4 linked regions of the Astyanax mexicanus genome follow. Each later gene encodes a partner of the first gene's protein in a complex. Links are inferred from orthologs where the notes say so. Each region holds a gene or a part of one and is shown in the gene's direction. Other genes may lie near its edges. The genes, in order: nup93, nup85, ranbp2 and nup214.

Evidence for each region.
Region 2: nup93 (region 1) and nup85 share a complex: the UniProt entries of both Homo sapiens proteins name them as parts of the nuclear pore complex. The link is inferred for Astyanax mexicanus from reciprocal best matches to the Homo sapiens genes NUP93 and NUP85.
Region 3: nup93 (region 1) and ranbp2 share a complex: the UniProt entries of both Homo sapiens proteins name them as parts of the nuclear pore complex. The link is inferred for Astyanax mexicanus from reciprocal best matches to the Homo sapiens genes NUP93 and RANBP2.
Region 4: nup93 (region 1) and nup214 share a complex: the UniProt entries of both Homo sapiens proteins name them as parts of the nuclear pore complex. The link is inferred for Astyanax mexicanus from reciprocal best matches to the Homo sapiens genes NUP93 and NUP214.

Annotation. Positions count from the first base shown.
Region 1 is NC_064416.1:22,512,612-22,520,429, forward strand, and holds the start of nup93 (nuclear pore complex protein Nup93), read left to right. Parts: upstream 1-4,818; 5' UTR 4,819-4,939; intron 4,940-6,665; 5' UTR 6,666-6,682; coding exon 6,683-6,861; intron 6,862-7,079; coding exon 7,080-7,197; intron 7,198-7,818. Other genes in the region: metallothionein-1, read left to right, coding at 2,594-2,618, 2,736-2,801, 3,012-3,103. UniProt on the Homo sapiens protein: Plays a role in the nuclear pore complex (NPC) assembly and/or maintenance. May anchor nucleoporins, but not NUP153 and TPR, to the NPC. During renal development, regulates podocyte migration and proliferation through SMAD4 signaling.
Region 2 is NC_064410.1:17,650,349-17,657,667, forward strand, and holds the start of nup85 (nuclear pore complex protein Nup85), read left to right. Parts: upstream 1-4,308; 5' UTR 4,309-4,707; intron 4,708-4,756; exon of another isoform or gene 4,757-4,846; intron 4,847-7,319. Other genes in the region: sumo2b (small ubiquitin-related modifier 2), read right to left, coding at 486-506. UniProt on the Homo sapiens protein: Essential component of the nuclear pore complex (NPC) that seems to be required for NPC assembly and maintenance. As part of the NPC Nup107-160 subcomplex plays a role in RNA export and in tethering NUP96/Nup98 and NUP153 to the nucleus.
Region 3 is NC_064418.1:23,985,957-23,992,838, reverse strand, and holds the start of ranbp2 (E3 SUMO-protein ligase RanBP2), read left to right. Parts: upstream 1-3,870; 5' UTR 3,871-4,009; coding exon 4,010-4,081; intron 4,082-6,882. Other genes in the region: LIM and senescent cell antigen-like-containing domain protein 1, read left to right, coding at 438-576. UniProt on the Homo sapiens protein: E3 SUMO-protein ligase which facilitates SUMO1 and SUMO2 conjugation by UBE2I. Involved in transport factor (Ran-GTP, karyopherin)-mediated protein import via the F-G repeat-containing domain which acts as a docking site for substrates.
Region 4 is NC_064408.1:3,828,388-3,835,600, reverse strand, and holds the start of nup214 (nuclear pore complex protein Nup214), read left to right. Parts: upstream 1-4,205; 5' UTR 4,206-4,385; coding exon 4,386-4,427; intron 4,428-6,994; coding exon 6,995-7,190; intron 7,191-7,213. UniProt on the Homo sapiens protein: Part of the nuclear pore complex. Has a critical role in nucleocytoplasmic transport.

The DNA of each region.
Region 1 (7,818 bases):
GTTTTTATAAAGAGTTGTTTTTTCTTTCAGGCACTGCCTAATTAAAAACTGTCCTGTGACGCATCTGGGATGTTCAGTATGTCACTTAGGGACTTTGTGAGTTAAAGTGAAGGGCAAAGTTTTGTAAGAAACTGTCCACATTATTTAAAGTGTATTTGACATATTTTACAATGAGCCCTTTTAGGGACCTAAAAAGCTGTAGCTGGAACACAGAAAAAGTATAATGTAAAATTGCTAAGATTGTGTTAGCTAATGGCCAGGATATTTCAAGACAAGATTTTGGCTATTATTTATTAGTTGATTCAGGGTGGACAGGTACATGTAATGCTCTGTAAGGACAACCAGTACAGACTTACAAAATCTGTAGATAAAGCAAATTGATTTTTAGTTCATATCACCTCCAAGATTCATGTTAACACTAGGACTGAACCAAACTCATTTTAAGTAAAAAAAAAAGGATCCCTGTAACTGCGCCAAGAGTGAGAAGCTAATGTGTTACTTTTATTTTGCTTTTTAGTTATGTTTACAAGTCAGGACATTGACAAACCAGCAAGGCGAAGTGTTTCATTTATTAACTGTAGGTTAAATGCACAAACTGCTAGTACATATTCTGCAAGAAAAAGATGTTTATTCAAATTCAGCTGGTCATAATTTAGTTGTCCAGGGAAGGCAAATTTACAAAACACAGATTATTCTTCATAGCTTTTTGCTTACTAGGAAACATTTAGTTTTATTATTATATTGTGCAATTTTAACATACAATTTCTAGCCCTTTTCTATTACTTGTATCCCAAAGGTGTGCATGCCTGCTAGGTGTAATTGGCTGTATGGCTTCCCTTTCTTTTAATTTACCAAACAAGGGAGCTTTCGAGCACACTTTTGTGAAAGCAGTTACATATGCTGTGACCTCATGATGTTTATCAAATCAAACCAATTCAAAAATGGACAAAAAGAAATTATATAATTGTGAATAGAATAGAATATCTTTGAAGGAAACATCAACAATCAACATTGGTTTTGAAGAGCTTCAGAGATAAACTTATATACTATATATTATATTATATTATATTATATTATATTGTATTTTTTTTTATTATCCTTTAAATGATTCTCTGATACTGACCATAAAACATAATCATCCCTAGTTCCTATCACCTCATTCATTTTAAGATTCGTCACTAGGATGACCGAAATTTCAGGATCGTGAGGGCATCACCCCTAAGCCTTGTCAACATTAGAGATCTATTAGTCAGGTAAACACTGTAAAGAATAATCCTTGTAATTACAACAGCAGACACAGAGCAGTAGCAGCAGCAGCAGAAGGAGGAGGAGAAGGAGGCTATCAGAGTTTTAGATCTTTCTCAGTTCTTCACAAAGCTGGATTTCACAGATTATTCGGTAATTTAAAAAGAAGTACCGTCTCTCTTCACAGAAATGAAAAATTACGCTCAGTCATAGATAACCCTCTACACTCAACGAGTGCAAAACTCTACTGCTGTGTTTTGTTTACTCTGCTCTCGCGCGAACAGAGTGGGTGCACACGGCCTCAGAGCGCACGCGCTGCTTCACCAAGCCCTGTGGAAGTGCCGTGTGCAGCGTGTGACCAAAAGCAGCATGATTACAACACAGCATTGTATTACAGATAATCTCAACTTTTAATCAACTGCTGAGATAAAAATACCATGATGTAAAAAAAAATCTAAAATCTTTCTGACCTGCTGAAAATCAGTAATTCATTTTTTAAATAAAATCATTTTTTGGGACATTTCTCCCAGATTAAAAAAATAATATTATTAAAATAAAAATATATATTGTCATTTAGTGCATTTATGTGCAGACCTCAAACAATACACAGAAAACAAGTTCATATTCATAAAGTTTTAAGAGTTCAGAAATCAATATTTGGTGGTATAACCCTGTTTTTTAATCACAGTTTTTATGCATCTTGGCATGTTCTCTTCCACGAGTCTTACACATTGCTTTTGGATAACCTTATGCCACTTCTGGTGCAAAAATATAGATTATAATAGAATAGAATAGAAACTATACTTGTCACCAACTTTTACTAAGTTTTACTTTTCACCATTAAACATGTAGCTGCGTCTATATACTGGTTCCCATCGTCTTCTATCCAGCATTTTAAAACGTATTAATCTTAAACATCGTCTACAAAACGTCTCTAAGGACATTTCTTCTCTTTTTAAAACTATTTTACTAATAATTTCGCAGAGTAATCATGTTTACACAATCTCATTTTAAAAAGCTACTTTGGTTGGAAAGGGCAGCCCTTCTTATGTAATTCCGTAAACAATGCTGACATTTCAGTGGTGGTGATAAATGGGGGTCTTAATCATTGTCTGATGGTTTGCACCCAGTCTTGGTGGCGTAATTGTGGCGCTCCATGAGGTAAACCGTGTGCAGGCAGAAGGGGTGGGGACGAGGAGGAGGGGGGTGTGGTTTTGCACTCGTCCTGCGTGAGTTCAGTTCGCTATAAATTCACTGCATTCATTCACCAAATACATTCAGCCTTCCCTCAGGATAGAGCTTCTTTTGAAAGATATCCACGACTGAAACGAACACATTTGAAGAGAAAATGGATCCCTGTGACTGCGCCAAGAGTAAGTAGCTAATGTAGCATGTCACTCTAGTTAGTTTTTAGTTAAGCTTTAGTCATTACGTTGATGGGTGAACAAGTTGTAGTGTTTTTATTAACTGTAACATTATTCTCTCTGTAGCTGGAAGCTGCAGCTGTGGTACAAGCTGCAAATGCACAAACTGCCAGTGTACATCCTGCAAGAAAAGTAAGTTTATTTCCACTAACATAAATTTAACTTTTTTTTTTCTTTCTCTTTTTAATTTAGTATTTAAAAGGGTCTGTTTTTAATTTGTAGTTTTGTTTATGTATATTTAAGCTGGAAAGTCAGTTGTATTTTTTTTTTTTTTATTTTAGTTTGGTGTCTTAATTAAGCTTAATTAAAAGTTGCTTATATATTTTTTCTTCTTATTTTCAGGTTGCTGTCCATGCTGTCCATCTGGCTGCAGCAAGTGTGCTTCTGGCTGTGTATGCAAGGGAAATGCTTGTGGCTCCAGTTGCTGCCAGTGAAGAAAGGACTGTTACTGCCAATCAGGATGTACATATTGTATTGCCTTTTGTACTCTGTAGCTTCTAAATAAGTAATGTCTTTTTAAGGGAAATGCCAATAAATAACACTGCTGTATCTGAGTCTTTTGAATTAACATTTTAAGTGTGAGTTTCTCCAGTCTACTAGAGGTGGCCTTTTTACTAGTCTTAAAATTGAGTGTATGGAGGTAATTTCATTTGAGTTTGATAACTTGCAAGCATGATCAACATGACCAATAGTCAGCAGCATGATTGACATCAAATGCAACATGCTCTATGTTGACCAACTGCTTATTAATAAAATGCCATTGGTCTGGGAGCAACTGAATTCAATAAATGAATGAAATGGGCCTGTTCAACTAAAAATGGGGCAAAGTTTTATCTGCAACTTATTTTAAACAAACCTGACTTAAACGCTAAGTTGAACTGTAGACCTAACCTTTCAAATTAGTACTGATCTGTTTGTCCATATCCAGCCACCTCTCTTTTGATATCTACTGTGACCAGCAGCACCAGTGAGTGGAGGAGGGTCCATCATACTATCCAAGAAAAATCAAAGGTAGTTGTAACCTTTGACTCCTGACTACAGATGGCTATAGCAGATCACCGGGTTGCTGGTCTAAGCAATCTTTATAGCTTTTTGCTCACTAGGAAACTGTTTTATTAACATACAATATCCAGCCCTTTCATATTACTGGTATCCTTAAGGGTGTGCATGCCTGCTAGATTTGCAAGGCATTCTTTTTCCTTTTCTTTTTTTAAAGTTTCCCAAACAAGTAAGCTTTTAAGAACTTACACATGCTCCACTGTGACCTCATGATGGTTATCAAATAAACCAATTTAAAAATGGACAATCAATTATTTAGGTGCAAACAGAAACTAGTATCTTTAGAGGAAACAATCAGCACTGGTTTCGAACATTTTCAGAGGTGATTGTAATTATATTAATGTTTAATCCTTAAAATGATTCTCTGCTAATAACCACTTTTCTATTTTAGCAGCACAATAAAAAATAGCAGCAATTATTACAACCAGCATAGTGGCAACTGTGGCATTTGGTGCTTAAGTAGAAGTGTTATATAATAGTGAAGGGCCCTAAAGCCAAGTGCCTAAATTCTGCCTTAAACTCACTTTCCTCTCACCTTCCCTCCAACAACTTTATAAAAGTTTACCTAATGGAGGGCCTGGGAATGAGCAATCTCTTTCCGTTCTACAAAGCCCTATAAGTAACAAAGTAGAAACAGACATAAATTGCTCCTTCAGTTTTATAAAGTGTTTCCTCAATTTAACTATCAATTTCATCATATTGAACTTAGTTAGTTATTAACTTTAGAAAAATGCTCAGTCTTGAAATCTTGTCTACCATAATTCTATCTAACTTGATACATTAGGGGCTAAGTAATGTTATTCTGGTTGAGTCAATAGCAATATAAGGCCACTCTAAAAATGTAAAGTTGTAATATTCCAAAATTAAAGTCGTGACATTACGAGATTTAAGTAGTAATATTACAATAATAAAGTCGTCATATTACAGGATAAAAATAGTAATATTACGAGAACAAAGTCGTATAGATCCACATGGTTTGTAGATCGAACACGCGTTTAGGACACAGCCCAGCTCCTTTTCAAACCAGAAGGATTTTATAAATAAAGTTATTTTGTCTGCGCATGCGCGTTCTGGGGAGTCCCCAGCCAATCAGCGACGCCGTAGAGAAGAAACCGGGAGTGAAAGAGAGGACGGAGCGGTGGATTCAGCTCTACTGTCAGGAACAGAGTTTTGGGATTAACTTGTGGACTGTAGGGCTTAGGAGAGAAGAGGTGAGGTGGAGCTGCTCTGTGTAATAATGGTTTAAAGCTGTGATAGTGGTTATTCGTTTAGAAGAGGGCATGTTGTTGTTATTCCCCGCAGTAAAGAAGCATGTGCTCTCAGTTCAGTAACGTTAGCTCCAGCACTTCACTCACACTGCGGGCAGCGCTGAGCTCCCGGCGACCGCCCGCCAACCGGGCCCTTTAGCCGGGCTAGATAACTGCTGTGACCGTCTTTTTAAATATGAACATAAACATGAACAGCGCACACTGTTTACAGATAGCTGGGCGATTTAAGAGCTAATAGTTAACAGTAACGACGTCTTCAGACTAAAAAGCAAACACACTCGCTAGCTTTAATGACTGCAGCGCCTGATTAGCAACACTAGCAGCACCTCGTTTCTTCAGACTGTGAAACGTGTGGTGTAAACATTACTGTAGGGTTTTTATACTAAACCAGCTAAACTAACCTAGCTATCTAGTTATCTTCTAACACATTCCCGCCACCTAAAATTATAGTAAAAAAACACAATTTTTTCTTATTAAGGAAACTACAATTTGTACTTGTATTTTATATTGCTGCTGCTTCCATACGCCTTATATTTTTTATGTTTTTCTGTCTCTTATGACAGTATTTTACTCTATATTTTTGTTTTTATATTTATCTATTTTAAATTGCTTTTTGGGTGGAACTGGACCGTGGACATACAAATTCGTTCCACCGTATGTATCACACATAATGTGAAATGACAATAAAATCTTAATGAATCCTTTAATCTCATTTTGAGATAGTAACTCGTTATTTTGATATACTATCATATTATTTTATCTCAAATTTTACTGACTTAGTGTCTCAAAATAATGATTTTCTATCTCAGAATAACGACTTACTATCTCACTACTGTTTCCTTAATAATAATAATAATAATAAGTGTAAGTATTTTACTTAGGTTTGAACATTTTGCTTCTTGAGTTGAGGGAATGATTTAATAAATTGATTCAACCACATATTCAATTAGTTTTTATTTTAATTTTAAATCAGGAGCTCAGTAGTCAGTTATGTAACAGTCGTGCATTTTATCATTCTCTCTGTCAGGGGTGTGCAAAATAAACAAAAAAAAACGGGCTGGTCTTTTAAAATATTATTAATAAATGATTGTACCCCACACGGTACATTGCTATTCATATTTGAATTTCATTTGAGTGCAATAACTGTAACAGGATATCAGAAGTGCAAATAACATACTGATGCCACAAGTAAATGGAAAAACAGAAACATCTTGTGGTCCCCTAATAATGTGTTCTTAAAAGTAATTCAGATAGCCACATTTGGCCCCAGGGAAAGACTTTGGAGACATCTGTCCTCTGGTTAACAACAATTATTTATATAAAGCAAGTTTGTTGTAATCTGTGTTTCTTACTAAATAAATATGGTGATTAACAACACCTTATAATGTCTCTGTTATGGAATCATGACAACAGCCTGTAACTGTTATTAAATAAACTAGTATTACTTGTGATTTGTAAGATTTCAAATTTTCAATTTTTTTAATAATTAAAATTTGAAGTAAATTTTTACTTTAGTTTTAAAATGTCAAAATTCTGCAAACTTTAATTATTTACTTCAGTTTAATGTGACTAATAAAAAAGTATGAGTATTTTAAGTATGACATTTTTTCTCCCCATCATCTCATTATCTAAAACTGTGTGATAATAATTTTGTTCTGTTCTTTCGTAGGCCACCAGGTGAAGCACATGGATGCCGAGGGCTTCGGGGAGCTCCTGCAGCAAGCAGAGCAGCTAGCAGCAGAGACCGAAGCCGTGTCTGAGCTGCCACATGTGGAACGGAATCTGCAAGAGCTTCAGCAGGCTGGAGAAAGGCTGCGTTCCCGCACTCTTACACGTACCTCTCAAGACACAGCCGATGTCAAAGCGTGAGTTCTCACCTGTTCAGCACATTTGTGACCATATTATTCTGAAAAAAACAATATTAAATATATATTAATAAATACACAGTTCACTAGCCCCCTTCTGTTCGAACTGCTCTTTGACCTCAACAACAGTGACAATTTAAGTACCATTGTTTGATGTGAATAATTTTGAGAACAGATTAACAGAATAAATTACTAAACAGATTTTTTTTTCCATCCAGCTCTATTCTGCTGGGCTCCAGGGGTCTGGATATCTTTCATATTTCTCAGCGTCTGGAGAGTCTAAGTGCAGCCACAACCTTTGAGCCACTGGAACCAGTGAAGGATGCAGATATCCAGGTAAAGAATTTATGTAACTGATGAATAGTTTCAAATGTACATAGGACATTTTTTTAATTTGACAGATCAGTACATACAGAAAATTGAGCGATATTTGATAATTGAGCCCTATTTTAGCCCCATGATGTAACCACAAGAACAACACCAACAATAAGAGTATTAGGTTCTCATAGTATCTACTTAGGAAGGTCAGATCTGAGTATCATCTTGGGGTTGTTGCAGAAATATTGTTGAAATCTTGCATATTTTTGGCTGTATTGGAGTGGTAAGAGGAGTTTCTGTAAAAATTATTGCCCCAGCTATGTGGTGTCCAGGGGGATATGTTTTTGGAACTCACTTTAAGATTGTGGTGCCATGCAGCTTTTAGATTGAGGCCTGCTTCTGACCATTCAGCTTTTCTGCTGTGCACACAGTTCTTCTGTCTGGCATTTGAGAAGGAGTAGGCTGGACTGAGCCACACAGTTATGGATGGCGTCAGGGTTCTTTCGATGGTGGGTGGATCTGAGACAGAACTGTTAAAGAATGCTGAGTATCTACTGCTCTCTGAAAATGGGCATTTTCTGATGAGCTTTTGTTCGCTGTAGTGACTAGGGGTGGGCGATAGGCCCTAAAATAATATCA
Region 2 (7,319 bases), on another chromosome or scaffold:
CAGTCTGTTCCACTTCTCCAGACTCCAGCGCTCCACACAGCGCAGCCTGCAGACACCGACCCGCAGCTGGGCGGCTGTTCTGCTATAAAAGTCTTCAAACCGGCTTAAAAACAAAGCCCAAGTTCTCAGACTGTACCTCTCTACTACTCTTAACACATCAGCGCTTAAATAAGGTCCGTGTTTTCCCGCATTTCACAGAATTGTGCTGTAAACCCGAACCAGCACCCGTACATTCATTACGCTGCTTGAACCCGCGCTGCTGGCTAGCATGTTAGCTAACGTGCTAAATGCGCGTTCACGACTCTTCCGGCGATTCTACAACAGCAGTTGCAGTATTTATCCACTACGCGGAATTATTCTACACACAAACTCTCCATTAATTCTCCATCACTCTATTCTTCTTTTTCCTTCATGCCGTATCTTCTGTGTGATTTGCGAATTATTTTATGATTATTGTTATTATATTAATTTTAATTCTCTCTCACCTTGGGCTTCTCGTCCGCCATCGTTATTGTGTGTTATTTCTCGCCGCCCGCACAAAGAGACTCCCGCCGTGCACGCGCACGTACACGCGCTCGTACGCGCGCAACCCTCCCCTCCCCTCCCCCCATCATCGCCATTCTAGAGCATTCGTGCGCGCGCTCGACACCCCCTCGTTTCACAGCCACAGCGGCTGGGGCGCGACCACGGGCGAACGTGCGCGCACCCGCTCTGTACGGCAGGATGGTTGCTGAGGGGCGCGAGCGGCGACGTCACGAATGCGCGAAACCTGTACAGAATGTCGGTGGTGCGCATCGCTCGTGCACGCGCACGCCATGTTTTCAGACGAATTTACTGCAAATTCGTGTTAAATGTTGAAAATACTGCGCGTTTATGATCATAGAGAGCAATGAACACGTGGGTGTGTGTGAGAGAGAGGTTTATGTGTGTGAGGTTTAGATGTGTAAGGTGGTTTAGATGTGTGTGAGGTTTAGGTGTGTGTGGGGGTGGTTTAAGTGTGTGAGGTTTAAATGTGTGTGTGAGGCTGAGGTGTGTGTTAGGAGTGTGTGAGGTTTAAATGTGTGTGAGGTTACTGTTTGTGTGGGGGTGGTTTAGGTATGTGTGAGGTTTATGTGTTAGGTGGTTTAACTGTGTGGGCTTTTTGTGTATTGGGGTGGTTTGTGTGTGAGGTTTACGTGTGTGTGGTTTAGGTGTTTGTAAGGTTAGGGTGTGTAAGGTAGTTTAGGTGTTTGTGAGGTTAGGGTGTGAGTGTGTGAGGAAGTTTAGATGTATGTGAGGTTAGGGTGTGTGTTTTTTAGGTGTAAGAGATTAGGGTGTGTGAGGTAGTTTAGGTGTGTGTGAGGAAGTTTAGGTGTGTGTTTTTTAGGTGTAAGAGATTAGGGTGTGTGAGGTAGTTAAGGTGTGTGTTTTTGTAGGTGTGTTAGGTAGTTTAGGTGGTGTTTGTGAGGCTAGGGTATATTTTAAGGTATAAAAGGTTAGGGTGTGTGAGGTAGTTTAGGTGTGTGTTATTTTTAGGTGTAAGAGGTTAGGATGTGAGAGTGGGTTTTAGGTGTGTGAGGTAGTGTGTTTGGTGCGTGTGAGGGGTGGTTTAAGTGTGTGAGGGGGTCTAGGCGTGTGAGGTTTAGTAGGTATGTGGGGTGGTTTAGGCATGTGAAATTTGTGTGTTAGGGGTCATTTAAGTGTAGGTTTGTGTGTTAGGTGTGATGTAGGTGTGTGTGAGGGGGTTAAAGTGTGGAGGTGGCTGGTTTAGGTGCATCTGAGGTTTAGGTGTGTGAGGTTACTGTTTGTGTGAGGGGTGGTTTAGGTGTGTAAGGTGGTTAGAGTGTGGAGGGTGGTGGTTTAGGTGTGTGAGGTTTTATGTATGATTTAGGAGTGTGTGAGGTTATTGTTTGCGTGAAGGGTGGTTTAGGTGTGGGATGTTTATGTGTGGGGGTGGTTTAGATAAGTGTGAGGTTCATGTGTGTAAGATGGTTTAACTGTGGGCTTTTTGTGTGTTGGTGTGGTTTAGATGTGTGAGGGGGTTTTGGTCTGTTTTAGCAGTGTGTTAGGTGTGTGGTTTAGATGTGTGAGGGGGTTGTGGTTTGGGTGTGTGGTTTAGATGTGTCTGGTTTAGTTTAGGTATGTTAGTGGATTTAGGGGGGTGTTAGTGGGGTTCAGGTGTGTAAGGTTTAGGTGTGTTGGGTGGTGCAGGTGTGTGTTAGGGGTGGTTTAGGTATGTAAGGTCGTTAAAGTGTGTGTGGTTTAGGTGTGTGCGGGGAGTTAGGTCTGTTAAGAGTGGTTTAGGTGTGTGCGGGGATTTAGGTCTGTTAGGAGTGGTTTAGGTATGTGCGGGGAGTTAGGTCTGTTAGGAGTGGTTTAGGTGTGTGCGGGGATTTAGGTCTGTTAGGAGTGGTTTAGGTGTGTGCGGGGAGTTAGGTCTGTTAAGAGTGGTTTAGGTGCATGAGGGGGTTGTGGTCACTGTTAGGAGTGGTTAGATGTGTGTTGGGGATTTAGGTGTGTATAAGGGATGGTTTATGTGTGTAAGAGGAATGGGTTATGTGTGTGAGAGGGGGTTAGGTGTCAGGGGTGGTTTATATGTGTGTGAGGGGAAATTTAGATGTGAGAGGGTGTTTAAGTGTGTAAGGGGAGGTTAAGATGGGAGAGGTTTAGGTGTGTGAGGAAGTTTAGGTGTGTGTGAGGTTAGGGTGTGTGTTTTTTTTAGGTGTAAGAGGTCAGGGTGTGTGAGGTAGTTTAGGTGTGTGTGAGGTTAGGGTGTGTGTTTTTTTTTAGGTGTAAGAGGTCAGGGTGTGTGAGGTAGTTTAGGTGTGTGTGAGGTTAGGGTGTGTGTTTTTTTTAGGTTTAAGAGTTTAGGGAGTGTATTTTTTAGGTGTTTGTAAGGTTAGGTTGTGTGAGGTAGTTTAGGTGTGTGTGAGGTTAGGGTGTGTGTGTGTTTCAGGTGTAAGTGGTTAGGGTGTGTAAGGTAGTTTAGGTGTGTGTCTTTCAGGTGTAAGTGGTTAGGGTGTGTAAGGTAGTTTAGGTGTGTGTTTTTTAGGTGTAAGTGGTTAGGGTGTGTGAGGTTAGGGTGTGTGTTTTTTAGGTGTAAGTGGTTAGGGTGTGTAAGGTAGTTTAGGTGTGTGTGAGGTTAGGGTGTGTGTTTTTTAGGTGTAAAAGGTTAGGGTGTGTGAGGTTAGAGTGTGTGTTTTTTAGGTGTAAGTGGTTTAGGTGTGTGAGGTTAGGGTGTGTGTTTTTTAGGTGTAAAGGGTTAGGGTGTGTGAGGTTAGGGTGTGTTTTTTTTAGGTGTAAGTGGTTAGGGTGTGTGAGGTTAGGGTGTGTGTTTTTTAGGTGTAAGTGGTTAGGGTGTGTGAGGTTAGAGTGTGTGTTTTTTAGGTGTAAGTGGTTAGGGTGTGTGAGGTTAGAGTGTGTGTTTTTTAGGTGTAACAGGTTAGGGTGTGTGAAGTAGTTTAGGTGTTTGTGAGGTTAGGATGTGAGGGTGGGTTTTAGGTGTGTGAGGTAATTTAGATTTGTGTGAGGTTAGGGTGTGTGTGTTTTTTAGGTGTAAGTGGTTAAGGTGTGTGAGGTTAGGGTGTGTGTTTTTTAGGTTTAAGTGGTTAGGGTGTGTGAGGGTGTGTGAGGTTAGAGTGTGTGTTTTTTAGGTGTAAGTGGTTAGGGTGTGTGAGGTCAGAGTGTGTGTTTTTTAGGTGTAAGTGGTTAGGGTGTGTGAGGTTAGAGTGTGTGTTTTTTAGGTGTAAGTGGTTAGGGTGTGTGAGGTTAGAGTGTGTGTTTTTTAGGTGTAAGTGGTTAGGGTGTGTGAGGTTAGAGTGTGTGTTTTTTAGGTGTAACAGGTTAGGGTGTGTGAAGTAGTTTAGGTGTTTGTGAGGTTAGGATGTGAGGGTGGGTTTTAGGTGTGTGAGGTAGTTTAGATTTGTGTGAGGTTAGGGTGTGTGTGTTTTTTAGGTGTAAGTGGTTAAGGTGTGTGAGGTTAGGGTGTTTGTTTTTAAGGTGTAAAGGGTTAGGGTGTGTGAGGTTAGTGTGTGTTTTTTAGGTGTAAGTGGTTAGGGTGTGTGAGGTTAGAGTGTGTGTTTTTTAGGTGTAAGTGGTTAAGGTGTGTGAGGTTAGGGTGTGTGTTTTTTAGGTGTAAGTGGTTAGGGTGTGTGAGGTTAGAGTGTGTGTTTTTTAGGTGTAAGTGGTTAAGGTGTGTGAGGTTAGGGTGTGTGTTTTTTAGGTGTAAGTGGTTAAGGTGTGTGAGGTTAGGGTGTGTTTTTTTAGGTGTAAGTGGTTAGGGTGTGTGAGGTTAGAGTGTGTGTTAGGTGTAACAGGTTAGGGTGTGTGAAGTAGTTTAGGTGTTTGTGAGGTTAGGATGTGAGGGTGGGTTTTAGGTGTGTGAGGTAGTTTAGATTTGTGTGAGGTTAGAGTCTCTTATGCTGTGGTACTTTTAGCCTTTACAGCACGTTGATATTTTTTCTGTCAAGGACCCAGTCTTGATACAAAAAACAGATTTGACATCACTGATAAAATCTGATACAAACCTCATGAACAGTTTGTAGCGTTTGGCTCAACAATGCACAAAAAACATAATTTTTCAGATTGTTCTGGCTACTGCAGTTGCACAGATCACCCTCCTCTGCTCTGGCACATCCAGCAAGCTGATTGGCTCTTTTTGTTGAAGGGCGAGACTTATCCATAAAGCAGCTGGGGTTGAGGGTTACTAGAACTCCCATTCCTATTCCAGTAAGTGGCTGGACTCCTCATTCAGCATGTCTGTCATCTGCCATTTTGACTGATAGCTAGCAATAACAACTTGTGCACAGTTCTAAATGGAAAATGTAAATATCTCTAATGGTGGAATGGGCGCTAATATGTTGGCTAGGTAGGTCTGTGGCTTTGTGTTGCCTTGTCAGTAGGCTCAGATTGTATAATGTACCAAGGAAAAAGTGAATTATAATGAAAAACACCTGAAAACTTTAAAGGCTGTAAATGTATGAATTCTAACAGCTGCTGAGCAGCCCATATCGATTTTAGCAGAACTCAACGGATCACCTTGGCTAAGCTAAGCTAAACTGGCTAAGTTAGTGCTAAATAAATCTACTAGTTTATTGACTCTGAGGTCCTAGTGATTTTTCTCTAAAGAAAGATGGTTAATTTTAACGGGAGTTTAATATTTTTGGATGCTGGTTAAGAAGTGAATTAACAGATCAAACTCTAAACTTAAGTTTCACACAAAATAACAGCACGTGCTCTTTAGTGTAGTTTAAAGTGTTTGGATATTGTGTTAATGATTTAAAGGCTTGTAACTACTGTTTAAAGGTGGGCTGATCATATCACTGTAATATGGCAAGCCAAATGGGTCAGAATTCGCCTGGGTCTGACGGCGCTTAAAGCGTGCGAAATACTTAAAAAACGCCGTCCAAAACGCCGTGCAGGGCTTACTTTTACGCCTTGGAACAAACGCGAGGCGCCGCCAGGCGTTTAAGAGCGTGTGGCGGCGCCAGGCGCTTACATAACGCCACCACGCGTTTTCATAACGCCTCCAGGCGTTCCATATGCAAAAACGGACAGAATATACATATCCCCTCCTTCTCCAAGCAGTTCAGCCCTCTGACTCTGTCAGGGAACTATATCTCCTGTTAAAATAAAAGCCCCCAAGTGCTTCAAATGTCTGCTGTGTTATTAGATGTGCTAGATTCATGTATTTCTGGCTAAACTGGGCTTTGCAAAATGTAGTCCCTGATTAAAACATAACAAAATGTAATCAAATGTACTTATTTTTTATCAACTCTTTCATTGCTGGCCTATTTAGTAATCATGTTTAATTTGTCTGATGCCGCAAGACCTGAGCCAGCCAACACACACACACACACACACTCTCTCTCGAAGGCATTGGGGATTTTAATAAAACGCGCAATACAGAGACCACCACAGCATACAGAATGAATGCATAAATTGAGAAATTAGGAAATCAACCGGACACACAAAATCCAGCAACACATTTAGCAGATCTGTGTAGAGATTCTATACGTTTTAGGGTCACTCTTAAAAAAAAAAACTGTTCACTATGAGATCGTAATATTCCGAATCATTCAGTATTCAAGGTATTCCTTAATTAAATTGTTTTTGATCATGGTACATCCTTATATTATTTTTTGCTTTCTTACTTTTTAAATAAAAGCCCTTTTTGTATCGCTGCCGCTCAAACGGGCAGCGTGGGTCTAAAATGAGCCACATTCATTTTCTATGCTACTTCAAGTATGGCTGTGGTTCTATGATATATTTTAGCAACGCATTAATTCCGTCGTTCAGAATTTAATTGACGAATTTATGAATGAGTGTTTCTTTTGCACAAATCTTAATTTTCATTCTCCTTACACAGGTTTACACACACGGGTCAGACACAACGCACATGAATTTACCATTTCACAGCTCAGCACAGCTCCCTCAGTACTGTTTTACGATAACATCACCTTAGAAAATATTTGATGCCACTAGTGAAAGATAACTGTATATAATATTTGATTAGGATTAGGTTACCATTAGAGTGAGAATATTACCTGTCAGAAAGTTACAAGTACGTATTATTAGATGTTGACATATTCTATTTTAGTTAGCTTAATATACTGTAGTACTTTGTAGGCCATTTAGCTACAGGGTGTGTTTATAATAATGTTCTTGGTGACAGTAACTGAAATATTTTATTAATTTAAAGAATAAACATTTTTAATAAAATAAATAGTACAGTCTAATATAGGATAATGGTAATAATAATAATAATAATAATAATAATAATAATAATAATAATAATAATAATAATAATAATAATAATAATAATAATATTGACATTATTTTGACATATTCTATTTTAGTTAGCATTCTGAATATTTTGTAGATTTTTTTAAAACTGCACACACACACACACTTTTATTATTACTATTATTATTATTAATATAATTTGATATTATTATTATTATTATTATTATTATTATTATTATTATTATTATTATTATATTGATATAATTATTATTATATTGAATTAATAAATTATTTAAACAAGCCCGGAGTGGCTAATCGGGAGGATTCCCGATGGGCCGGGGCGAGTTTGGGCCGGTTGGACGGAAAAAAATTATTTACCCTCACTTCTCTAATCTTATTCTTGCATTCATTGCCATTCAACTATGCACTCTCTATTCGTCTGACAACACAGCCCCTACGTCGGGTTTAACCATCTGAGGGAATTCTCCTCTCCCAAATGTTTGAGTTGGTTGCGTCCACCAGTGGTCTTTTCTGAAGCGATCAAATTAAATGCAGCAACAGAATAGCACAAAGCGTCAGACGACTGTGATGGAGGG
Region 3 (6,882 bases), on another chromosome or scaffold:
TCTCAATGACTGTGTAATTACAGTCCTATCACAGTGTCCTTTATTAGTACAGTAGTACCCTCACTCCAGTGTACTTTAAAGATATCCTGATGGAAAGGGAAGTAATGTTAAAGTGGAATCATCAATGTTCCAAACACCTGCAGTGGACTGCACTAGAGTCCACTTAAAAAAATAAACCAAGGTCACTGATTTCAGGAAGACCAGACTGCTTCCTGCTTCATAGCAGTTTTCACATTGCACCAAACTAAACCAAACTCACAAAAATAAGAAAAAAAGAACTACAAGGACCAGTGAAAAAAAGCTAATGTGAAAATACCACTCTTACAGTAGAGAATGTCAGTACTCAGGATGCACAGGTTTACTAGATTAATGAGCATAAATACATGATGTAATTATATCCAATAGAGTGATTTGTGAGTGATTTGGGTTTTTATCAGGGAGAAGTTTGTGGAGCTGGATCTGAAACCGGTGTGTAAACAGTGCTATGAAAGAATGCCGGAGGAGCTGAAGCGCAGACTGGCCAAGCGTGAACACGACTCCAAGGAGCGAAAGAGGAAGATGGGTATCTGTCTGTGATCTTCGCCAGCAGTTGGTTAGTGTTCTGCGTTCTCTTCATTTTTTCACTGTGTTTATCATCTATTACACTTTCAATAATCAAATTTTTCTTTTTTTTTTTTTCAGAAATGTTGCAGTTCTATGAGGAAAGTGCAGAAATTTGATGATGTGTACTGTAGTATTTTCTAGTATTTGTTATAAATATTCAATGATTTTATCCTATATTGTACATAAATACTGAAGTCATCCAGACCAAGAAGGAACACATACTCAATCATATAGTAACTTTAAAGTGTTAAACAAACCCAAAATATTCTGCAATACCCAGATACCCTGGTGGGTTCTTATATGGGGTGCTGTTAACTAACTGTGGTTTCTAAGGCTGGTAACTCTGTTGAACTTATCTTGTGCAACACTGGTAACTCTTGCCCTTCTTTTTTGGGGGATTTTCTGATGAGAGCCAGTTTCATCATTAGGTTTATGATGAATTTTTATAAAGCTGGCTGAGAAAATGCTAAGATGGAAAAAGCTGTCATCTAAGCAAAAGGTGATACTTTGAACATTACCTGGTTTGTTTAATATTTTTGTTTACTAAATAATTCTATATGTGTTTCTTCATAGTTTGAATGACTTTAATATTAATCTTTATTGCAGAACATTTTAAAATAATGAAAAAACACTGAATTTAAGGTGTGTCCAAAATGTCACTGTATGAAATGTACACATGCATTGACAAGTTTTAAACCAGCATACAGTGTTATGCATACAGAGTTGGCACCCCTGATCATTTTCATGATTTCCTTTATAAATCACTGGTTGTTCAGATCGGCAATTTCAGTGAAATATATCAGATGATATTGTAATATCTGACAAGTTTATTGGATTTACAGAAAGTGTTCAATAATTCTGTAAACAGAAAAATTGGGCAGGTGCATACATTTGGGCACCCTTGTTGTTTTATTAATTTAAATACCTTTAGCACTAATTCGTTCTCAAAATAGTTTAAGCTCATTGTCTCTTGACCTACATACACAGGTGAATCTATTTATGAGAAAGGTTTAGGTGGCCAATTGCAAGTTTTTTTTTCTTTTTGCATCTTCTCTAAAGAGTGGAAACATGGAAGCCTCAAAACAAAACTCTAAAATTAGCTGAAAACAAAGATTGTTCAACATCATGGTTTAGAGGAAGGATACAAAAAGCTCAGATCTCAGAGATTTCAGCTGTCAGTTTCCACTGTGAGGATCATAGTGAGGAAATGGAAGACCACAGACACAATTCTAGTTAAGACCCCAAGTGGCGGACCAAGAAAAATCTCAGATAATCAGAGGAGAAGGATGATGAGAACAGTCATAGTCAACCCACAGATCAGCTCCAAAGACCTACAACATCATCTTGCTGCAGATGGAGTCACTGTGCAACATTCAGCTATTTAGAGCACTTTACACAAGGAGTGGCTGTATGGAAGAGTAATTAATGCAGAAGAAGCATTTTCTGAGCACACGCCACAAACAGAGTCACTTGAGGTATGCTAAATCACATTTGGACAAGCCAGCTTCATTTTGGAATAAGGTGCTGTGGACTGATGAATCATGATAATTATCAGGGATGCCCAAACTTTGCAATACCAATGTAACCAGGATTTTAATGTTTTAATATTGTTTGACTTTAATCATAATTTTTAGATTATCTTATAACTTTGTGAAAATTCTAAAAACATTTGGAGATGTGGTTAATCAATTAAAAACAATACAAAACAAAAATCCAAGCCTAACACTGTCCCTAGATCTGTGGTGTGATTACTGTAGCTTTAAGTTAGATTCTCACTGAGTGCATTTACATGCTTTTCATAATACAGATAAAAACTCATCAGACAATAATCAGATTTTTGTTGCAGCCAGACAATAATCTCACAGAATAAGACGTGATAAAAACATTGCGTAAAACATGAACTTCACACTGCAATATGGTCATGAACAGCTAGAAAATGAAGATTATTTAACCTGCAGTTTCAGGGTGTCTCACAAAGTATTTGGTTGGGATCTCACAGGTGCTGTGTTAAACTCGCTTATTTCCACCCTGTTTTCACTCATGCACATCCCAGAATACTCCGGTTAGCCCACTGTAGCATGATTTTTTTCATATTTATTGGGAACAAATATTGTAGCCTGTTGATATATCCATTAAAAAATAACTGCACAATGTTGCACTGAGACAAAAATAAAAAAACCCTGTTTTAGTATGCAAATGAAAATAAACTAGCCACAATAATGACAAAGACATTAAAAGGAAAATTCAATTATCAAAAATATTCTTTGGTGCCTAAAAGCCAATCCATGCCATAGAGGGTATGACTTCATACTCAGTATGAAGTCAGTGTAAACTCAGTTTATATTACTACTTCATTTATACAGCATATTAATTTAGCATATATTGTGGAATGTATTGTTATTGTATTGCTATGAGGTGCACTGATTTGCCTCAGCTTCTCTTTGGATTGTATATGTTATTTGTTTGGAGTTTATTTAGTATTCACTGCCTATTGCTTGAAATGAAAATAATTTAAATAAAATGAATGTATACCAAAAAAAATACTCGAGATTCCTGACATCAGAGTTTCACGCCTCCACTCTGTTCACACCACACCTATTATTAATACCAGTTATAAATTAATAATAAAAAAAGAATACCCTACTTATAATACAATTTGTATAGCCAGTATGTACATATATTTATATCTTTATAAATATCTGCAGTGTTTAAAAAAGCACCAGCAGCACTGCTGCATCTAATCAACTTGTAGCAAAACAAACACCATCACCTCACACACCACTACCATGCATATAGACAGTGTATAGGCTGTATAAAGGACAGTGTGGACAAACTGTAGATGACAGTGTGTATATATATCATATAAAAGACAGTGTGTATAGACTGTATAAAGCACAGTGTATATAGACTGTTGAGGACAGTGTGTATAGACTGTATAAAGGACAGTGTGTATATACTGTGTATAGGAGAGTGTGTATATACTGTATAAAGGACAGTGTGTATATACTGTGTGAAGTAGAGTGTATATATTGTGGAAAGAACAGTGTGTATATACCGTATAAAGGACAGCGTAGGTAATATACTGTAAAACACTGGAGCTCCTGTTCTCCATGCAGCACGCTTGCACTGACGGCAAACACGCAGCTTTCATTCTATTGGCTGCGACTCTAGAGGCGGGACGTTCGTCCTCAATCCTCATAGGCTGAATGGTTTGTTGGGAGGCGTGATAGGATTGTGTGATGCGGACGGAAATCTCGCGATAAGGTAAACGAGAGCGGCCATATTTGACAGGTTCGGGGAAGAGCGCGGTCCCGGCGAGTGTTCAAACAGAGCGGTGTATTAACGGAGTAACAGCGGAACAACAGCGAAACACAGATCACCCGCCACCCCAGAGACAGATTCAGACATGAGGCGGAGTAAAGCCGACGTGGAGCGCTACATCTCCTCCGTAGAGAGCCTCTCCCCCGCCCGCACACAGGTACCAACCGCCCGCCAGCGCTAGCATTAGCATTAGCATTACCAGGGCCGGCTCCAGCAAAAGCAGCTCTGTGTAGAGAAGACCCCCCCCCCTCTTTCTTAAGTTCATTTAGTTATGGGCTTTTAGTGTTTGTGGCACTTTAACGCTCACACGCCCCCCCCCAGCCCCCCCCCCCCCCAGTAATAATAATGATAATAATAATCATAATAATCATCATCATCATTATCGTCAGCTACAATGCAAGATCACAGTTAAGATATTTTATTTTAAGAATTTATAAGAATTGAATACTAACAATACAGCGTTATGCAAATACAATACATAACGCTACCATACTGTTTAATCAACGTTAATTCAACGAATTCTGATGTCGGAGTTTAACGTTACATTAATGCATTAGAGATCGAAAGTGAGCGAGCTCGTTGAGCGTTAAATAGCTAACTAACCTAACGCTAGGTAGCGTCAGTTAACTAGGGTAACTGTCTGTGTTCTGAGAGTAGAAGAGCACCAACCAGCCAAAGCCTTTAAATGATGGTTTATTCAGTGTCAGAATTTTAACAACTAAAGTTTTTTTTCCATAATCAACATTAAAATGTATTAAAGTAGCTTGTATTCAGTGTTTTCTTCTATCAGTACGTTTCTACTGAATCCAGCGCTATTTAGTTTTCCTTCAGACTTGGTCAGTTTAAAGTTTAATGTGTAGAACTGCGGAATTGAATTTGACCGAGCTCCAGCTGTAGATCAGGGTGTGTATCAGCCGCAGTGTGTGAGGGCAGCGCGGGGCTGGAGCTGAAGGCCTGCGCGTGTCAGAGTCGCCGGTATTAGCTATGCTATGCTAGGCTAGGCTAGGCTAGCGGTCCCTCAGTGAGAACAGTCGGTACACTGCGGGCTTTTAGCTGTTCACTGTGAATGTGAACCGGGTTATAAACACCAGATTAATAAACCCCGTATCTCTTCGTTAATAATTTATACCGCATTATCCACACCTCCCTGCTGTACAGTCGCAGTTACCCGGCTATTAGCATTAGCGCTGACTGTAGGAAAGCGCGGTAAACGGGCGGGAGGTTCTAAAGATCAAGTTAAACTCTCTCTCTCTACACTGATTTATTTTACATGTACTAAACGTTAATTCCACATTTCCGTACAAATCTCACAAGTCTGATAATTGTAATAAATCCTTACTGGTGCTGATGCTAATTCACCATATCTAAACCGGCCTTGACTGGCTGAGAGATGCAGTTCACATGTCTGAACAGTATCAGAGCTAAAGTACAACTATCTTTTAAAGAAATAGTAAGATTACTGTTATTAATGCCTAAAACTAGTCGTATTATTCGTCAGAATTAGTCTATATAACGTTATATCTGAAAATACAGTTTCTGTAAGCTTTGTAAGTATGTTTTATATTGTCTTTATTCTTGTGTGGTATGATGTTTTTGTCCCCAATATGTCAGTGAGCAATTTAAGTATTATTATTATTATTATTATTATTATTATTATAATTATGATTATTAATAATTAATCATTTTAAAAACATAATTATACAATTACACCCTTTTACATAACAGGAAACTTTTTATGTGTATAAATATGTAGATATTAGTCAAGTAAGTTAGACAGGGAATTTAAAAATGGTTTAAAATCCTACCTTAATATAAAGACTCCAGATAAATTTCACTGTAGCTGTGAGATCATGTTCGATGTACAGTGGTGCTTTAAAGTTTGTGAACCCTTTAGAATTTTCTAGATTCTTACATTTGAGAGTGAAATTAGTGTCGGCTGTTTTCAGTGATAATGGACGGAGCAAGGTTATAATAGTTTTGAAATTTTCATTCTAGATTCTTTTTTTTTTTTTTTTTCCACTTTTTCTCCTTCAATTCAGTTAGTTTTAATTAGTTTTTAGAGTTGGTGTGCCAGTTTTTATTATTTTATTTTCTTTATTATTGCTTAGTTTTAGTTAACGTTAGTTTTTATTAATTCTAGCATTTGTTTTTTTTTTCATACTTTTGTGAGGATCAGGATTCAAAAAGATATTATGAAAAAAAAAACTCAACAAAAGAAACAAAAACAAAAAAATCAGTTACTGTGAAACAACTAACTGTCCCCAAAAACTGCTTAAAATAGCCAAAAGAACACACATGAACATGACACGCACATCACATCAGAGAGCTCAACTTGAGAAACCCAGAAACAAACTCAGAAACCCAATAAACTATACAGGTTTTACTCATTTTCACCAAAATTATCAAGTCAGAAATTAAATTGAAATGGACACCTGGCACTAGATACAGCTAAGATAAAACTTTTTACTATATTAGTGCAGAACTAACTATACTGTAGCTCACATATATAACATCAGAAAGTGATCACAGCTGTCTGAAATACAGTTTATTTAGTGTGTGTGAGTTAGAGAATGTGTGTGTATGTAAGAGAGATAGAAAGAGTGAGAAAGAGACATATTTATCAGTTCATCTTCCAGCTTGAGTTGTTCTGGTGTATGAGCTACTCAGAGTAAGGCTGGTAAAGGTACTCACAGTTAGGGCTCTTATGCTGCTTCTCAAATAGACTTACAGCTGTGTGATGTTTATTCCGCATACGGTATCTGCTGTTTTAAATACAGAATAGAGGTGTGCCATATCGTATCGTACACGATAATATCGCTAACATTTTTGAATACAGTGTACAATATTTTATCCTGAAATATCGTGCCCTAATTATCACATCAGGGTACTATTTTTTTGGCTGTTTTAAGCAAAAGAAAATTCCTATTATATATCTACTAGAGACATATTATATCTGTT
Region 4 (7,213 bases), on another chromosome or scaffold:
AAACTTTCCTGAGCTAATGCAGGTTCTCCAAGCGTCTATTTTGGTTGTATTTTAACTGAATGCTGAGCGAGTTCTTTGAAGTTAAGCTCTTGTATCGTTTTATGACTAGCTTTTGGTACTGACCGCTAGCGCTAATGACTAGCTTTTGGTACCGACCGCTAGCAATAACGTACTGTTGCAAAATTCCAGTGACGGTATATAAGCATGGACGCCTTGGCTCCATTCCCCTCCGAACTCGGAACCTACTCATTTGGTAGCCCTGCCCCTTCTCTCAGACCATGCCCGTAGCTTAGCAAGCTAGCTAACTAACTTAGCTAGCTAGCTAAGCTACTGCAAATTTTCCTGAGCTAATGCAGGTTCTCCAAGCATCTATTTTGGTCGTATTTTGACTGAATGCTGAACCAGTTGTTTGAAGTTAAGCTCTTGTATCGATTTATAACTAGCTTTCGGTACTGACCGCTAGCGTTAACATACTGTTGGAAAATTCCAACATACAGTAATGTTCTTGGAGAAGTATTAGCATATTAGCATAACTTTCCGGCTTTGCTTGTTTCTACAAAGCTAATGCAGGTTCTGCTAGTGTCTCTTTGTGCAAGTTGTTTAAAGTTAGCCTACTGTATCCCTGTACAACCTGCTTTGGGTACCAACAGCTAATGCTAACGTTATGCTAATGCTAATGCTATGTCCGCCATGTTGACAAATTTGCAACCAGAGTCTCTGCCCTTATTCCAGACTAATCTCAAGTGTCTCAGACCGCCTGCATTGAGTTTACAGTGTAGCCTAAAGTACCAGAAGCAGTTTATCCTTTAAGCTAACAACTTTTGGTTAGTAGAATGTTTTCTGAACGTTACATTTAGCGTTCTTAGAATGTTATTTTCTGGATGTTTCTAGAATCTTTTTATTTATTGCTTTGAACTTTCTGTAACGTCATCGAGTTAACGACACTTCAAAGCGTCCAGTTTTTATTTAGTTTTAACTTTTAACATTTCCCTAATGTTGGTATACGTCTAGTTGGGAATGCTATGTGAGAAGCGGTCTAATAACGTTTTAATGCAAACCATTGTTACGTCACAAGTTTTCAGAATGTTCTTGGAACGTCATTTCCGTAACGTTACAGGTTAACATTTCTGGTACCTTTTCAAAAGGTTGCTAAACATTCTTTTAACATTTTCTAACATTAGCTGGATGCTCCCTATAATAAAGGTGATTGGTCTGTTCTAGACAAGGCTGCCGCCTGTCAATCACTTGATGATGTAGCCCCGCCTACTTGTTGCAATATAGAAGAATAACACTGTTGGAATTGTTGGATACTGGAGAGAAAAAGACAGTTTAGAATAGAGAAATTTGATGTGAGATGGGAAATGGGCGGGGCTTTTTTATGTAATTAAAACATATGGGAATGGTTGGAGCTACCCGTCATTCTGCAACCAGCCAGCAGAGGCGCTAGACTTGTGGTGGCTTTATGTTTAAGAGACTTTTGAGAGACGTTGCGCTGTCCATGCTTATGTACAGTTACTGTAAAAACCTGCAAGACAATGCTAGTCCACGGGTGTAAAACAGCTAGCTAGCGATATAGCCTATAGGCTAACTAACGTTACGTTACGTTCTAGGCTAACTACCTTTAGCGGCCAGGCTTCTTTCAGTATGGCAATACTGTGTGAATGAGATAATTCAGTACATGTGCTTCAGAGTTTTAAAGTGTGAAACACGTAAGTCCTTTAAAAAAAAAAAACGTTGTTTACGACTTCAGACGACACTTTAGACTTTAAACGTGAAATACCACCGACTACATCCTGATACGACTAAATCATTCACATTTTATCAGCCAATCGATTTCCTCCACCAACGACAGATTCTGGTTTGGGTTGAAGTTGTGTAGTTCAAGTGATTTAATTCCTTTTCAAATGCAATACTGAAAAAAAAAACTGCTTTCTAATAAAAGTCCTTATTTCACCAAAAACGTTTCCTGTGTTGTTTATTATTACGAAATGTAGGGTATTAAAAGGGTCATTTTTTATCTTTTTTCAACTTCTGTTACTGGCACTCACTCCTGTTACTGGAACTCACTCCTGTTACTTGCACTCACTCCTGTTACTGGAACGCATTCCTGTTACTGGCACTCACTCCTGTTACTGGAACTCACTCCTGTTACTGGAACGCATTCCTGTTACTGGCACTCACTCCTGTTACTGGAACGCACTACTGTTACTGGCACCCACTCCTGTTACTGGAACGCATTCCTGTTACTGGCACTCACTCCTGTTACTGGAACGCACTACTGTTACTGGCACCCACTCCTGTTACTGGCACTCACTCCTGTTACTGGCACTCACTACTGTTACTGGCACTCAGTCCTGTTACTTATGTTTTAAGTAACAGGACTGAAAGTAACAGGAATGAGATTTTAGCCTAGAATTATAGCCAATAGCGTAAGCACACTGAGCACATTCTAGTGATTTTTTCCAAAATTTCTATTTAAAAAAATAAACCAATAAGATGTAAGAATTAATTTAGGTAACAGGACTGAGTGTTGAGATTGAGCTCCTCAGTCATCGTTACAATAAGATCAAATATACAGAAAAACTAATGAGGGAACTTCGGGAATTTTATTCTTCAGAAGAACCAACTTCCTATTGTAGATGTCACTTCCTGTTGTAGATGTGACTTCCTGTTGTAGAATGTTCCAGATGTTTCAGATGATCAGGGTAATGTGTTACAGTAACAGGACTGAGTGAAACCACAACACAGTGACACAACTAAAATGTGTATTTTAACCTTAAAATAATGAATTTATTATGAAAATATATTTTTAAGCATAGATGGGATTTAGAGTCACACAACAATGCAAAAAAATACATCTCTGAATGATTTTAATAATTATATTTCATGGTAAAGTTTATAGTTAGAGAGTGGGGTAACAGGTATAAAATGCTATTTTTATTCATTGTTCTAAGTAGTTTTTATTAATGTTTTTAATTACATATCTTACTTTTGCAATTAGGCCAGTGTACAATAATAAAATGTATTTTAAAGTTATTTTGTGTGCACATTTATACATGTAATTTCGTGAAGACAGAAATGGCACAGATTCAGTGGAATATGCCAAAAAAAAATTATTTTGCTTTTGTTGGAGTAACTGCATCTACTGTCCAGGGAACACTTTTTTTTACTAGATGTTGGATTTACATTGCTTTGAGAATGTATAATGCTTTATTGTTAGTTTATAGGAATAGAACTGTGGCTAATGACTCCAGCAGATCTGAATATAACAGCATATCTAAATGAATAGAGCCAGAAGGTAACATAGACACAGAGGCACCTTGAAACACTGGCATTTACCCACTCCACCAACCACAAATCTAAGATACTTATAACTAATTAAAGCTATAAAATATTAAGCCAGTTTACTTGTTATGAACAAGCTGATATTTTAAGTAATTGGAAGAATATCAATTACAGTAACTACAAAAGTTAGAAACAAATATTATGATTATTATAATTGTTATAATTATAAGGGCCATTAAATTCAGTATATAAGTTATTAATAAGAATTAATGGTTTAAAAGAATAAAATAAGCTAAGAATAAGATATGCTGAGAGTTTAAATTGATTCATTTGTGCACACTCAACATTGATTCAATTTGTTATGTTTATCTTCTTTTTTATGTGTGTTGTGTGTTATGTATTGTTTATATTCTTGTTTGTGTTCTTGAAGTGAACATTTAATAATAATAATAATAATAATAATAATAATAATAATACAATGTTTTTCCATCCTAAATATTAAAAGATTTAATGCGAGTAAAATGTAACGTTTCTAGAAAAATTAAACAAATGATTAAAAAAATAAATACAAATCTTCAACATGTCTAGTATAACTTTGAGGACTTTTATTTTGTATATATGAAGGCTTTTGTCTTGTAAGCAGTAGTTATATTCACTACTGAAATAAAGTCACTTTTTAATCATATTTTTAATAATTGAGATGCATTAATAGCTTCCATTAAAAAAACACAGTGCTAATGAAGCTTTTATTATGAAGAAAGGAAACTGTATCAGATGATAGGGGACTTCTATTGTATAATGCCCGCTTTTAGCGGATGAGTGAGGACTTTTATTGTGTAATGTCCGCGTTTATGCGTCGTTAGAGGACTTTTATTGTGTAATGTCCGCTTTTATCTAGCGATAGAGGACTTTTATTGTGTATTGTGAGCGCTGTCGCAGTTGTGTGTGTTCGCATGGCTGCAGTGTGTGTAGTGTAGAAATGAGGAGCTGATAATTCTATTTTTACAGAGAGAAATATCTGTAATTCTATAATAATCCAGTAGATCCTGTAGATCCTGTAGATCCGGGTACTGCGGGCTGCTCTACTGAACGGCGGGAATATGGGGGATGATCAGTACCCGATCCCCGAGCGGGATATGAAGGTAAAGTTACAGCGCGCGCACAGCTAACAGCTAATGCTAATCCAGCTAAATACTGTATAAACTACTGTGAACTACAACTTTTATAGCTTATGTCTGATATTAATAAAGTGTATTAATTATTATTAAACTGGTGAAAATCCCCTGGAGCTCATATATGTACTATTTACTATTATAATCTCTCTAATTTAAACTGAAACAAACTGAGCTAGCCTAGCCTAGTTTAGCTAGTTAGCTTAACTTATACCTAAATATCAGTTCTTATTAATCGTATAAATCTGAAATAAACATTTATCAATGTTTTTATCACTAGTTTCTGTTAAAAACTACACTGATACTGTATTACTAGTTAAACGTCTAACTAACATTTATTATTTATTAATAATAGTAACGCACTTTCAAACGTTAGCTAACTTAGCTAACGCTAAGTAGTTACACATGAAGTTGTCACAATGTTGTCAACTTTCTTACAGCGTTGTTTTAACGTTATGTAGATGTTGCACTGCAACAATATTGTCTGAATGTTAAATTGTCTATTTTAGCAACAACGTTGTCCAAATGTTGCACTCTTAGACAACAGTGAAAAAAATGTTTCACTTATTTTTTTGCAGCAATGTTTTCTAAATGTTGAGTTGTTTATTTTTAGCAAAAACATCTGTCTAAATGATTAACTGTTTGTTTTAGGAACAATGTTGTCCAGATGTTGCACTCTTTCAACGTTGTCTAAATGTTAAGTTGTTAAGTTGTTTTTAGCAAAAATGTTGTCTTAATGTGGAACGGTTTAGGTTTTCAGCAACAACGTTGTTTAAATGTTGCACAGATTTTTTTGTAGCAATATTATAGAAACGTTGAAGTGTTTGACTAATCAGCAACGTTGTCTGAATGTTTCATCAATGTTGTCTAAACGTGCAACATCTAAATGTTGCATTGTTAATGTTTTATTAGACTCATAACTCCTGTAAACTACAGTGTACTACAGCTTCTGTCTGAGATTAATAAAGTATATTAATCATTATTAAACTGGTTAAAATCTTCTGGAGCTCATATACCTGTATTTACTATTATAATCTCTCTAATTTTAACTAAAAAAAACTGAGCTAGCCTAGCCTGCTATATATATATATATATATATATATATATATATATATATATATATATATATATATATATATATATACACACAGAGTTAGCTAAGCTAGTTAGCTAAACGTTTAGTTAAATATCAGCTCTTTTTAATAACAAAATTACTGATGTTTTCTACTCTAGTTTCTGTTAAAAACTACACTAATAACGTTTTCTAAACGTCCTTTAAGAATATAGTTTACGCTAGCTTACTTGCTAGTTGTCACAACGTTGTTTAGTTTCTTACTGCTAAGTTTCAACATTGTCTATAAGTTTCACTTTCTGTTCTTATACACAACGTTTTCTAAATGCTTAGCGGTTTATTTTATCAGCGTTTTCTTAGTGCATCACTGTTTATTTAATCAAAAACATTGTCTGAATATTGAACTGTTGTTTAAGCAACGTTTTCTTCATGTTGAACTAACGCTAAGTAGTGAGCCAGCAAAAACATGTTTTCTCAATATTGTCAGCTTTCTAACACAGTCGTTTTATTATGTTGAATCAATTATTTTTTGGCAACGTTTGTCTAAATGTGGAACAGTTTATGCTTAAGTAACAACGTTGTCCAAATGTTGCACTCTGTTTTAGCAATTTTGTCTAAATGTTGAGTTCTTTATTTTTAGTAACAACATTTGTCTTAATGTTTAACTGTTTGTTTTAGAAACAATGTCATCCAGATGTTGCACTCTTTTATCAATGTTGTCTAAATGTTGAGTTGTTCATTTTTAGCAACAGTTTAAATCTTGCACAGATTTTTTTTTGCAGCAATATTACCTAAATGTTGAACTATTGTCTGAATGTTCCACACTGTTTTATCAGTGTTGTCTAAATGTTGCACTCAACATATTTAGATGTTGTTGGGACAAATGTTGCAATTTTTTTTTCAGTGTATTAGTTGTGTGTCATTTTGTAAACTTATTACCGTTATTCAATATTTATTGCATTTTACCTAGGTTTGTGCTATTAACAATTACAACTTTACAACAGCATCAATGTTTCTTACCATTTAGACTTTATTACTGACTTTTAACAGATTTCTAAATGTTTTACCTCAATAGCCTAGTTTTCTTGCTGTTCTTTTATTTTGCATTTTTTTAAATAAAAATTTAAATCAGAAAACTACTCTACATCTCTTCATGGCTGTCTCTCTCTCTCTCTTTCTCTTTCTCTTTCTCTCTCTCTATTAGCATGAATGTAGTTACATACATTATTGCCAAATCAATTAATAATACAAGTAACAGACAAAAAAAATACTAATAATAATAACAAAAATAAAATACATAACTAAATCTAAAGATTAGAGAGAAAAAAACCCAGTAATATTAAAAAGGTTGGGTTATTAATAAAGAAAATAAGTAAAAGTAGTCATAAAAGCATGTTAAAGTTAGATTAATAAAACATTAAATTAAATTAATAAATAAGTTAATTAATCTCTATTTCTGTAACAGGATTTTCAGTTTCGTCAGATGAAGAAGATCCGGGTGTTTGATTCTCCTGATGATCTGCAGAAGGAGCGCTCTGGTCTTCTGGCGATCTCTAATAAGTTCGGCGTGACGTTTGTGGGTCTGGACAGAACTCTGAAGGTTTATCTGACTCGGGAAATCATCGCCGCCGCGAAAGTGGATGGAAACATTAATGAAATCGGTAAGAACTGATCGGTTTTACTA